Macaca mulatta: one gene and its partner. The protein of the gene in region 2 binds, or shares a complex with, the protein of the main gene of each other region. Links are inferred from orthologs where the notes say so. Each region holds a gene or a part of one and is shown on either strand. Other genes may lie near its edges.

Region 1 (6,268 bases), on a different chromosome or scaffold from region 2:
GGCGACAGAGCAAGACTCTGCCTCAAAAAAAAAAAAAAAAAAAAAAAGTATGGAGAGCTGTGTACATGGCAGGAAAGGAGTAGTTGGATTGAGAATGAACAGATCTGAAATCCTGAGATCTGACAAGGAACCAGACTTAAGGAAAGTTAAGTTCTCAGCACCCATTGCAGTGTATTTGTGAATGAATGGGAAAAGGGTGTCAGTCCAAGGGGAGATCAGGTGGTTCCTCCTCATCAGAGTCAAACTCAACATTTTCATCTTTTACCCATCGACCTCGTCCATCTGGGATCCATCCTGAGCTGGAAACATCAGAGAAAATAGCATCGATTAGGAAAGAGGCTTATTAAGAAGTTAGTGGTGAGCTCACACCTGTAATCCCAGCACTTTGGGAGGCCAAGGTGGGTGGATCACTTGAGGTCAGGAGTTCAAGACCAGCATGACCAACATGGTGAAACCCTGTCTCTACCAAAAAAAAAAAGTTAGTGGTGAGAAAAAATTGAGAGCCATGTAAATTGGGTGGATAAAACAAAACGAAACCAAAGATAAAAAACAACAATAGGAGGCCGGGTATGGTGGCTCACGCCTGTAATCCTAGCACTTTGGGAGGCCAAGGCAGGTGGATCACCTGAGGTCGGGAGTTCAAGATCAGCCTGATCAACACGGAGAAACCCCGTCTCTACTAAAAATATAAAATTAGCTGGGCATGCCTATAATCCCAGCTACTTGGGAGGCTGAGGCAAGAGAATCGCTTGAACCCCGGAGGCGGAGGTTGTGGTGAGCCAAGATTGTGTCATTGCACTCCAGCCTGGGGAACACACAAAACTCTGTCTCAAAAAAAAAAAAAAAAAAAAAAAATGGGGGGCGGGCACGGTGGCTCACGCCTGTAATCCCAGCACTTTGGGAGGCCGAGGTGGGTGGATCACAAGGTCAGGAGATTGAGACCATCCTCACCAACGTAGTGAAACCCCGCCTCTACTAAAATACAAAAAATAAGCCAGGCATGGTGGCACATGCTTGTAATCCCAGCTACTCGAGAGGTTGAGGCAGGGGAATCGCTTGAACCTGGGAGGCGGAGGTTGCAGTGAGCTGAGATGAGATCACACCACTGCACTCCAGCCTGGTGACAGAGCGAGACTCCGTCTCAAAAAAAAAAAAAAAAAAAAAAAAAAAAGCTTTGAAACAAGAAGGGTCAGAGAGAAAAGAAAATCTGAGGAAACTGATTAGGCACACTCACCTTCGAAGGGTGAGATAATGGTCCAGGGCTCGTCTTCTTGTGGGGCTCATGGGTGCAGGGGCTGAGACAGTTGCTGACTCCTCGGCCTGTGGGCCAGCCCCAGGTTCAGGTTCCCTACTGATCTTCCCGCTTTGGAGTTCGACCTCTGAGGGTGGCACAGGAGAAAGGGAGACAGAGGGACCAGGGGCTTCTGGTCTAGGTAGAGAAGAATAGTCTGTAAAAGCAGTAAGGGAAAGGGCCAACTCTCCTATGACTCCCAACCTCTTAAAACAGTGTTTCTTAAACTATATTTTTCAAGATATTAGTAAGTTCTGCATACAAAGGATTTTAGAATCATGAATTTGGGAAAGGCTAGCTTTAAATTTTACAAGTTTTTTTTTTAATTCTTAAGACTTTGTATAGCTTTTAAAACTGTTACTCTTTTTTTTTTTTTTTTTTTTCTGAGATGGAGTCTTGCTCTGTCACCCAGGCTGGGGTGCAGTGGCCAGATCTCAGCTCACTGCAAGCTCCGCCTCCCGGGTTTACGCCATTCTCCTGCCTCAGCCTCCCGAGTAGCTGGGATACAGGCGCCCGCCACCTCACCCGGCTAGTTTTTTGTATTTTTTAGTAGAGACGGGGTTTCACCGTGTTAGCCAGGATGGTCTCGATCTTCTGACCTCGCGATCCACCCGTCTCGGCCTCCCAAAGTGCTGGGATTACAGGCTTGAGCCACTGCGCCCGGCCTAAAACTGTTACTCTTCAAGTAGAATTACAAAGTGCCATTTCCCAAACTTTATTTAAAAATCACAAAATTCTCCTTTTCTTTTTCTTTTGAGATGGAGTCTCACTCTGTCACCTAGGCTGGAGTGAAGTGGTATGATCCTGGCTCACAGCAACCTCTGCCTCCCGGATTCAAGCAATTCTTCCACCTCGGCCTCTTGAGTGGCTGGGATTACAGGCACACACCACACACCCAGCTAATTTTTTATATTTTTGGTAGAGACGGGGTTTCACCATGTTGGCCAGGCTGGTCTTGAACTCCTGATCTCAAGTGATCCACCGCCTAAGCCTCCAAAAGTGCTGGGATTACCGGTGTGAGCCACCGTGCCCGGCCAAAATTCTCCTTTTCTTGAAACACTAAGTAACATCTCCAGAACGCTAGTATTCCTCAGAATACAGACTGGAAAACACTTTCAGAGCCCTCTATCTCCTTCCGAGCCTTCCTACCTCTGGCTTTCCCCTCCCATACCTGTACTTCCGGCGGCAGCAACTGTTATAGTGGGGAGCTCTGTGCAGAGCACTCTGGGTGATAAGTCGTGTCTGGGTTAGCAGAGGAGCCTGGTAAGAAGATGGGAGACAGAGTCAGAGCCTTCAGCCCTCTGCCCTTCCAGCCTGGTGTGTGCAGCAGGGTCTTGCCTAGAACACACTCTCCACTCTCTGATTACCTCAGCTTTGGTTTCTTCCCTCCTCAATTCATTCTGATGTCTTGGATTCTGCTTCCTTTCCTTTCCCGGCTGCTTCTTGCCATAGAAAAGCTGCAAGCCTGAAGAGAAAGGGAAACAGAATTAAAAGCATAGCACCAAGGCTGGTGTGCAGAGATTTCGATTTATTCCCCATCCCCTGTCTTCCCCCGAACTTACTGGACAGATGTTTCTTGCCTGCACGGTGGGCAGTCAGCATGGCCAGGGTGTCCAGTACCGGTCGATGGGGGCAGATGGCACAAGCAAAGCTGAGCAGGGGTAGAGAAGAGGATAACTGGTCCAGGGGAAGAGGGTTGGGCCTGTCCCTGCCGTAAGTCCCACCCTGTCCTAGCAGTCTTTGCAAAACCCAACTCCCTGGTGACCCAATCTCCACTTCTTCCAGTCCTCACTAGCCGCCAAAGAATCCTAGATACTTCTGCTGTCCTAATTAATAACAAAAGTTTGTTGAAGCCGGGCGTGGTGGCGTGCGCCTGTAATCCCAGCTAATCGCGACGCTGAGAAGGCAGGATCACTTGAGCCCTAGAGTTCAAGGACAGCCTGGGCAACACAGCTATTGAGCCTCTAACCGCAAAACCCTCAGGCTTGAGCCACTCCTCGCTCTTACCGTCCATCCCGAAGCATCAGCGCCTCATCCTCTGGGATGTAACTGGCGAGGAGGTCCCCGACTCTTCTTTTCTGCAGGGAGTAGGGGAAGAAATCCGGACGGATCAGCAGGATAGGAGAGAGGGATGGAAGTTAAATGATAGAAATGAGGAGTCAAACGGAATAAGGACATAAGGACCCTGGGGAGAACAGCGATCATAGACCGAAAAAGGAGTCACTACACAGCTCTAAGTCGCCTGGTTCTCTCCTGCACCCCCGAGTTGTTGCCAGAGCAATGAAACAAAGCTCCTTCCCAACCTTCAGAGAGCGACTGAAGAGGCTGCAGATCCTCTCCGCTCACGCTTACTTTGAGCACATTGAGTTGACTCCAATCGTCTCCTTCCCTCTTGAAAGACATCACGACTGTGAGTCCCAGAAGTGATAAATTTTCTTGTTCCGGTTTCGCCACTCCTCTAGGCCACCGTAGCAAGAGCGGGACAGCGCCTTCTCTTTTCTCTTTGTCTTCCTGTCGGCCCCCGTACTTCCGGGAATGCACTTCCACGCATGCATTGCGCCATCCGGATATCCACTCTCTGGCGCGTGGAGGGAACTGCATTTCCTATGGTGCCGTGCGACTCCGCAGACGCGACGCCTTTTGGGAAATGAAGTCTTTTCCTCAAAGACCTTGCCGCTCAGCTGGATCCAGGCCCTTGCATCTTGGTGGATCTGAGGCGTTTAGAGGGACAAGAACCTAGATGTGGAGCCGAAATTTGAGGGTGTGACCTATCTGATGCGGAGCGGACCTTTGAGGATCTCTGAGTGGAAGGTGTACTACAAATTCTCGCAATCCTCACGCTCTTCGTCTGCGGCGACAGTTCACCTGGGGTGGGCCTGATTTGTTCCTGGCTCTAGCAAACAAACCCCGGGACCGGGCAGAGCTGGGATGTGGGAGCGCCCTGAGGCCAGACTACTTGGGGGCAAACTGAGGAAAGAGTGTTGAGGATTATTTCTAGAGTTCAAAGGTCAGAGGTCAATGTAGCGAGGAGTTGTGGGGGAGTTCAAAGTCGGAGGGGTGCTTAGGGGCGAATCAGGGAGGGACTGAATACTCAAGGGACAGATTTGTGGATAAGGACTTGGAGGGAGGAGAAACCGGGAGGGGGCAGGTGGCGTAGTGCTGGGGAGGCGGGGACACAGGGGAAGAGAGAAGGGGAAAGGAATCCCCTGAATATCTATTCCCAGACTTCAGGCCTGTCATTCGCAGTCTCGGTCGGGCCTCCCCTAGTTGCAACCTAGCTGTCGGCAGGGTGAAGAGATGGCTTCCCCGTCTAGACAGCCCCCGCCAGGGGGGTCAGGACTGCTTCACGGGAGCCGGGCTCGTTCATATGGAAGCCTGGTGCAATCGGCCTGCTCCCCAGTGAGGGAAAGACGCCTGGAGCATCATTTGGAGCCCGGAGACACCCTGGCTGGACTAGCACTCAAATATGGGGTGACGGTGAGTTTTCCAGGATTGGGGTGCAGACAAGAGTCAGGAGGGATTTAGTCCTGAGAAGAATGTAGTGGACCTTCTAGGTAACCTCCCCTGAAATGTTCCTAATGTGTTGAACTCTGTTCTGCTTTTATCTTTGTTTTCCCATCACAGTGTTGCACTGCGTGGTTGGGACAAGTTCTGCTCTACTATTCCAATGGAGAGGAACAGCTCCTATTTTATCATGCCAGACACTGTGCTAGGGGCTTCACATACGTTAGCTCATTTCACCCTCACGTCCGTATCAAGTATACATTTATTGTTCCCTTTTGGCAGATGAAGAAACTGAGACTTGGATTGGTTAACCATTTTGACTAAGGTCAAATAATGATTGTCAGATATGGGATTCAAACAGGTCTGTCTGACTCTGTAAACCACACAGAAAATTTTACATTGAGAGTGATTAAACGTTTACAGCAAATAATGGAGAGCTTATTTTTAGTTCTCAGTTCCTAAAGTGCCTACCTCTCCTTGCTCTTGGTTCCTCCTCAGTGCTCTGCCTTCTTTCTAGTAAGGCGGCTTCCCTGGCACAAAACAGGTACTCTACACCAAGTATTTCAGGTCATGCATGGGGGAAATTGGATAGATGTAAAAATGTATAGCATTGAAGTTGATGAGGTTACTCCCCCTACCCCCACCCCTGTTTTCTTGTTCCATCTCACTCAAGCAAATGTTGAATTTAGCCAACATTTTTATGCTTTAGCCAACATTTAAAGCACTGTGATAACTTTTCTGGGAGACAGAAACTTAAACTATATGGTTGCTGTCCTCATGTAATTTATGGCCTAATGAGAAATAAACAGGTACACAAATAATGATTACAAATGACAGAACGTGGTGAATTTGTAAAGGTATTAACAAAGAATCAGGGCCAGGCATGGTGGCTCACCCCTGTAATCCTAGCATTTTGGGAGGCTGAGGCAAGTGGATCACCTAAGGTTATGAGTACGAGACCAGTCTGGCTAACGTGGCAAAACACTGTCTCAACTAAAAATACAAAAATTAGCCGGGCGTGGTGGTGCTCGCCTGAAATCCCAGCTACTCAGGAGGCTGAGGCAGAAGAATTGCTTGAAGCTGGGAGGTGAAGGTTGTGATGAGCTGAGATCGCACCACTGCACTCCAGCACTCCAGCCTGGGCAACAGAGCGAGACTCTGTCTCAAAATAAAAAAACGGATAGGAAATCAGAAAGATTAAATTTTAGTTGGAAAGGGGCTGGGGTGGGCCAGGCGTGGTGGCTCATGCCTGTGCTGTAATCCCGGCACTTTGGGAGGCTGAGGCGAGTGGATTGCTTGAGCTCAGGAGTATAGGACCAGCCTGGGCAATGTGGTGAAACCCCATCTCTACAACAAATACAAAAATTAGCTGGGTGTGATGGCATGTGCCTGTAATCCCAACTACTGGGGAGGCTGAGGCAGAGGATCACTTGAGCCTGGGAGGCGGAGGTTGCAGTGAACTGAGATTGTGCC
Region 2 (5,547 bases):
ACGGTAGAAATGACAGACCATAATTGCATGCAAAGTCATTGTAAAGATTGTATAAGATCTTGTGTTATATTTGATATGTTTTATGTATCTTATTAAAATAGTTTTGTTCATCATACTTCATAAATGTGTGTATATATTATATATAATATGTAATATATATTACATATATAATTTTACATATAATATTACATATATATTACTTTTTTTTATATATATACATATATATATATATATATTTTTTTTTTTTTTTTTTTTTTTTTTTTGAGATGGAGTTTCACTCTTAATTCCCAGGCTGGAGTGCAATGGTGCAATCTCGGCTTACCGCAACCCGTGCCTCCCGGGTTCAAGCAATTCTCCTGCCTCAGCCTCCCGAGTAGCTGGGACTACAGGCATGCACCACCACACCCGGCTAATTTTTTTTTTTTTTTTTTTTTTTTTTTTTTTTTTTTTTTTTAGTAGAGACGGGGTTTCTCCATGTTCATGTTCATCAGGCTGGTCTTGAACTCCCGACCTCAAGTGATCCACCTGTCTCAGCCTCCCAAAGGGCTGGGATTATAGGCATGAGCCACTGCACATGGCCCATAAATATATTTTCACTTGTAAATGTATCTACTCCCTCCTTCAGTCATGCTCCTTGTTTTATATTTACATTCTCCCATGATAATCCTATACATTAAAATTGACTAAGTTCCCCACTTCATGGCCCATATACTAAACTTTTTTTTTCCATTTTTTTATATTTTAAAATTTGAATGAAATTTCATGTTTTCTGGCCTATAAATGGAAGAGGTTAAAAACTGGTTTGACTGATGGCTTAGTATTCTCGTATTCCACTAAAATAGAATTTTCTTTTAATTCATATTGTTTGAAGTTTCAAATGTGCATTTATTATACTAAAGTATACTTAAATGTTGAAGACTACCCTGAACATTTATGCTTGATGCTTTAATATTAAATGAACACTATTTATCTCAAATATAAAATACTTGTTGAATTGGATATGATTTGATTACTGTTTGCTGTCTTTACAACTTAGTTTTGGAAATAACCAAATGTAGGCAAGTCTTTGTTTTTCTCTTATGACTATAAAATCCAATCATTGAAAATTAGGTTAGCGAGACCAGATGTGGTAGCTCATGCCTGTGTAATCCCAGCAGCACTTTAGGAGGCTGAGGGGGAGCATATTTTTTGAGGCCAGGAATTCAAGACCAGGTTGGCAACATAGTGAGACTCCATCTCTTTAAAAAAAAGAAAAAGAAAGAAAGAAACTTCGGTCAATGAAACAACATAGTATTGAACAATAAGAATGTTTTCATAATTCACATTAGTATATGTAGATTAATATAGTTTTTTTTTTTTTTTTTTTTTTTTTTTTTTTTTTTTTTTTTTTTTTTGAGACGGAGTCTTGCTCTGTCGCCCAGGCTGGGGTGCAGTGGCCGGATCTCAGCTCACTGCAAGCTCCACCTCCCGGGTTTACGCCATTCTCCTGCCTCAGCCTCCCGAGTAGCTGGGACTACAGGCGCCCGCCACCTCGCCCGGCTAGTTTTTTGTATTTTTTAGTAGAGATGGGGTTTCACCGTGTTAGCCAGGATGGTCTCGATCTCCTGACCTCGTGATCCACCCGTCTCGGCCTCCCAAAGTGCTGGGATTACAGGCTTGAGCCACCGCGCCCGGCCAGATTAATATAGTTTAAATATATTTCATTTTTATTGTCTTTCCTCTTCCCAAGTTACTTTGCGTTGTAGAATGTCTAATTTAGGTAACCCTTTATGCCCCCTCTCTTTTTTTTTTTAACCTGAGACAGGGTTTCACTCTACTGCCCAAGCTGGAATGCAGTGGCGCATTCATGGCTCACTGCAGACTCAACTTCGCAGGCTCCAGTGATTCTCCGACCTCAGCCTCCTAAAGTGCTGGGGTTACAGGCATGAGCTACCTCGCCCTACTCCCTCACTCTGTACAGCAATACAGTATTTTTACTATTTTAAATTTCATTATTCCCATTGTATAAATTTTAGCAAATTATCTTAACTGTACCTATTTATGTACTTGTTTATGCTTAAATTTTTTTAATTGGTTATATAATCTTTACCCTTTTCCTTTTTCAGATTTATGGACAAGAAGTTATCATGTAAGTTTGTTGTTGTTTTGGAGTTTTTTTAAATCATTCAGTTGCTTTTTACGTGTGTCTTAGCAATATGTTTGGAGCAACTTTATAAAAATTTAAAGCACACAGGACCTCTAATTCACATCCATTAATTAAACAGATTACTTAATCCTAACTTGACAATTTTATTTACCTAATTTCTGATATTGAATTAATTTAACAGCACTTCAGACTTTTATCTTATATAAGCCTTTCCTCACTCTGGCAAAATTAACAGGATTTATCAACCTTTTTTCTTTAAACAAGCTACAAAGGACTTAGACAAGAAACAATTATTTTGTTTCTTGGGAATATGTAGGAATAACAGATTTGTTCAATTTATCTAAAAATCTGACCCACGCAGTACTTGAAATATATGTAGGGGAAAAAAACCGTGAGTGTTAGAAGCAAGCAGCCTTCAGCTTGAGTCTCACTTCTACCATACAGTAGCTGTATAACCATGAACCCAGTTACTTAAAAGCTTGGGCACGGTGGCTTACACCTGTAATCCCAGCACTTTGGGAAGCCAAAGCAGAAGGATCCCTTGAGCTCAGGAGTTGGAGACCAGCCTGGGCAACATAGGGAGCCCCCATCTTTATAAAAATTTTAAAAAGCTCTAAAGTTTAGTTCTGTCCGATAAAGTAAGGATAATACTACTTTTTAGGATTCTTATAAATTAAAATGTGGAAGTAAATACAAAAATGTTTAACCCAGTTCTTGGCATACAGTAAGGATAGTGGGTCAAACATCTCAAATACTTGTGTTTTATCCCACCTGATTTCTAGTGAATGCTTGATAGCTAATGGACAGTTTATCTAAAACGTCTTTTTCCCTTTTTAATAGTGAAATTAAATGGTGGCAGACATGTCCAAGGAATATTGCGGGGATTTGATCCCTTTATGAACCTTGTGATAGATGAATGTGTGGAGATGGCAACTAGTGGGCAACAGAACAATATTGGAATGGTGGTAAGTAAAGATACAAGATTTCTCTTGGATATTTCATTTTTCTTTTGGAATGTGTATTAACTTTCCTAGTTAGTAACCCCCAGAAATGGCAAATAATAGGCAAGATTAGACTTTCCATTTCCTTTTTAGTTGAACATATGGCAGTTACTCAGATGTGGTAATATCCTGGTTACCTGTAGGTAATATCTCAACTATACAGAACCTAAGGTCCTAGGGCTTGAAACAGCTGTTGGAAATCCTTTTTGAGCTTTATTCTACAATAGAGGCTCATAGTCGGTCCTTCATTAGAGCAGGAGTTCTGAAACCTTAACGTGTATATGAATCCCCAGGGAATCTTGTTAAAATGAAGATTCTACTTCAGTAGGTGTGGGGCGGAACTTATTAAGGTTTTGCAATTTTCCTAATGCCTAATGCAGATCTGCCAGTTCACAGATAACACTTTCTGGTTTTACTTGTATACATAGTTAACCTGGGTTTTCTGGTTTACCATACCAAAATTTTAAGGTAGCCAAGGTAAACGTTACAAGGGATAATCACAGTGACAGTTATTCACATGAGAGAAAAAGCAGGAAAAAATTAAAAAGCACATACTGAGCCCTCATAGGATTAAACATTCCTACATTCATTGGGCTGTAGTTTTAGTGATTACTGAAGAAGAGTTTTGATACCCCCACTTTGAGTCCTTCTTTGTCTAACACAGGACAACATACCTAATAAAGTGGTAGACCCAAAGTTATTGAAAAAGGTGAGCCAAAAAGGACAACTTACTTTTAGCAAATTATTAAGCATAAAGACCTCCAAGGAGTGTTAAGAGTTGCTAATTATTAGCCTTGATTTATTAACTTTGATTTTTAAGTTTGAGCAGTACAGTTGAAGATAGACCTATTTTGACATCTCTGCCTGTTTAATTTTTTTACATACCATTCTTTCTAAGGTTTGTGTTATTACTTATTTCAGATACTTTTTTCAGATACTTATTTCGGAGACTTATTTCAGTTACTTTTTCACTACTATATTTTGAAAAGCAAATCGATAGTCATGACTGAAAAAACAGTTTAGAGTCTCCAGATACCACACTGTACCCCCAAGTTCCTTGTAAATTGACTTGTCTTTCAGGTATATTCCCTTATGAGCTTCTGTTGAATAAGGCTGCCAGCATCATTAGTAGACAAGTCCTTATAAAAACACTTTCTAGATACCCCAAGATTTTCCTCTAAGCCCTTATTTTTACAAATAAATTTTCATTCTAATAGAAGCTGGATTCGGTTTTTAGTTCCTTGCAACAAATTTGCTGAAAAGGATTCAGGAAGGAATCCTAATTGTCAATTCTGCTTTGAGAAAATTAGAGAATTATATAACACACTGCTCATTGGAATTTTATCAGAGAAGGAATAGAGCATCCCTCTGTCAATTTTCCCCCAAAACTTTATGGACTTAATTTTCTTTGCACAGAAATTAGTTGAAAGCACTGCCATCCCAAGTCATTTAAGTAATGATTACCTACTTAGTGTGTTGGGCAGCCTCCTGTTCCATCTCTGAGGTTTAGGTGACACACACACCCCCAACCCCCAGCCGAAGAAAAAAAAAGTTTTCATCAACAGACAATGATTCTTGCTGCTGAGTCTTCACTTTGAAAAAGAAATAATAATACATCAGTCTTCTTTAATAAAAAGACATTTTAAAAGGCAAGAACAGAGATGAACTTTTTGACTTTTCTAAAGTTGGAGGAAGGGAAACAAATAGGTTAAGATTTTGTTCATTTTGTTAGAAGTTGTTTGACAAAGGACAGTTGGTTTCAATATTACCTTGTCCAAGTCAGTGATCCATTGAGGCCACTGAAATTACTTAATACTGTTTTATTGCAGTTATGTGTGTATTGGCTGGGCACAGTGGCTCACATCTATAATCCCAGCAGTTTGAGAGGCTGAAGCAGGAGGATCTCTTGAGCCCAGGAGTTCAAGATCAGCTTGGGCAACATAGTGAGACCTCATCTCTACAAAAAATTTAGAAAATTAGCTGGGCGTGGTGGTGTGCACCTGTAGTCCCAGCTACTCAGGAGGCTGAGGCAGGAAGATCACCTGAACCCAGGAAGTCGAAGCTGCAGTGAGCTGAGATCACACCACTGCACTCCAGTCTGTGTGACAGAGCGAGATCCTGTCTCAAAAAGAAAAAGGATGTGTGTGTGTTTTCAGGAGTTTGTTTTTAACCTGTCAGCTGGATCATTACCTAATGATAAATCTCAACTATTTCCTTTTTTTTTTTTTTTTTTTTTTTGAGGCGGAGTCTCGCTCTGTCGCCCAGGCTGGAGTGCAGTGGCCGGATCTCCGCTCACTGCAAGCTCCGCCTCCCGGGTTTACGCCATTTTCCTGCCTCAGCCTCCGGAGTAGCTGGGACTACAGGCGCCCGCCACCTCGCCCGGCTAATTTTTTGTATTTC

Evidence for each region. Proteins that work in one complex are often made in the same cells at the same time.
Region 1: SNRPG (region 2) and SCNM1 share a complex: the UniProt entries of both Homo sapiens proteins name them as parts of the minor spliceosome. The link is inferred for Macaca mulatta from reciprocal best matches to the Homo sapiens genes SNRPG and SCNM1.

The regions. Positions count from the first base shown.
Region 1 is NC_133406.1:115,921,664-115,927,931, forward strand, and holds SCNM1 (sodium channel modifier 1), read right to left. Parts: upstream 3,809-6,268; 5' UTR 3,695-3,808; coding exon 3,644-3,694; exon of another isoform or gene 3,595-3,643; intron 3,370-3,594; coding exon 3,299-3,369; intron 2,943-3,298; coding exon 2,854-2,942; intron 2,757-2,853; coding exon 2,659-2,756; intron 2,552-2,658; coding exon 2,463-2,551; intron 1,430-2,462; coding exon 1,235-1,429; intron 300-1,234; coding exon 200-299; 3' UTR 149-199; downstream 1-148. Other genes in the region: LYSMD1 (lysM and putative peptidoglycan-binding domain-containing protein 1), read left to right, coding at 4,589-4,768. UniProt on the Homo sapiens protein: As a component of the minor spliceosome, involved in the splicing of U12-type introns in pre-mRNAs. Plays a role in the regulation of primary cilia length and Hedgehog signaling.
Region 2 is NC_133418.1:54,439,508-54,445,054, forward strand, and holds part of SNRPG (small nuclear ribonucleoprotein G), read left to right. Parts: intron 1-2,105; coding exon 2,106-2,128; intron 2,129-2,986; coding exon 2,987-3,111; intron 3,112-5,547. UniProt on the Homo sapiens protein: Plays a role in pre-mRNA splicing as a core component of the spliceosomal U1, U2, U4 and U5 small nuclear ribonucleoproteins (snRNPs), the building blocks of the spliceosome.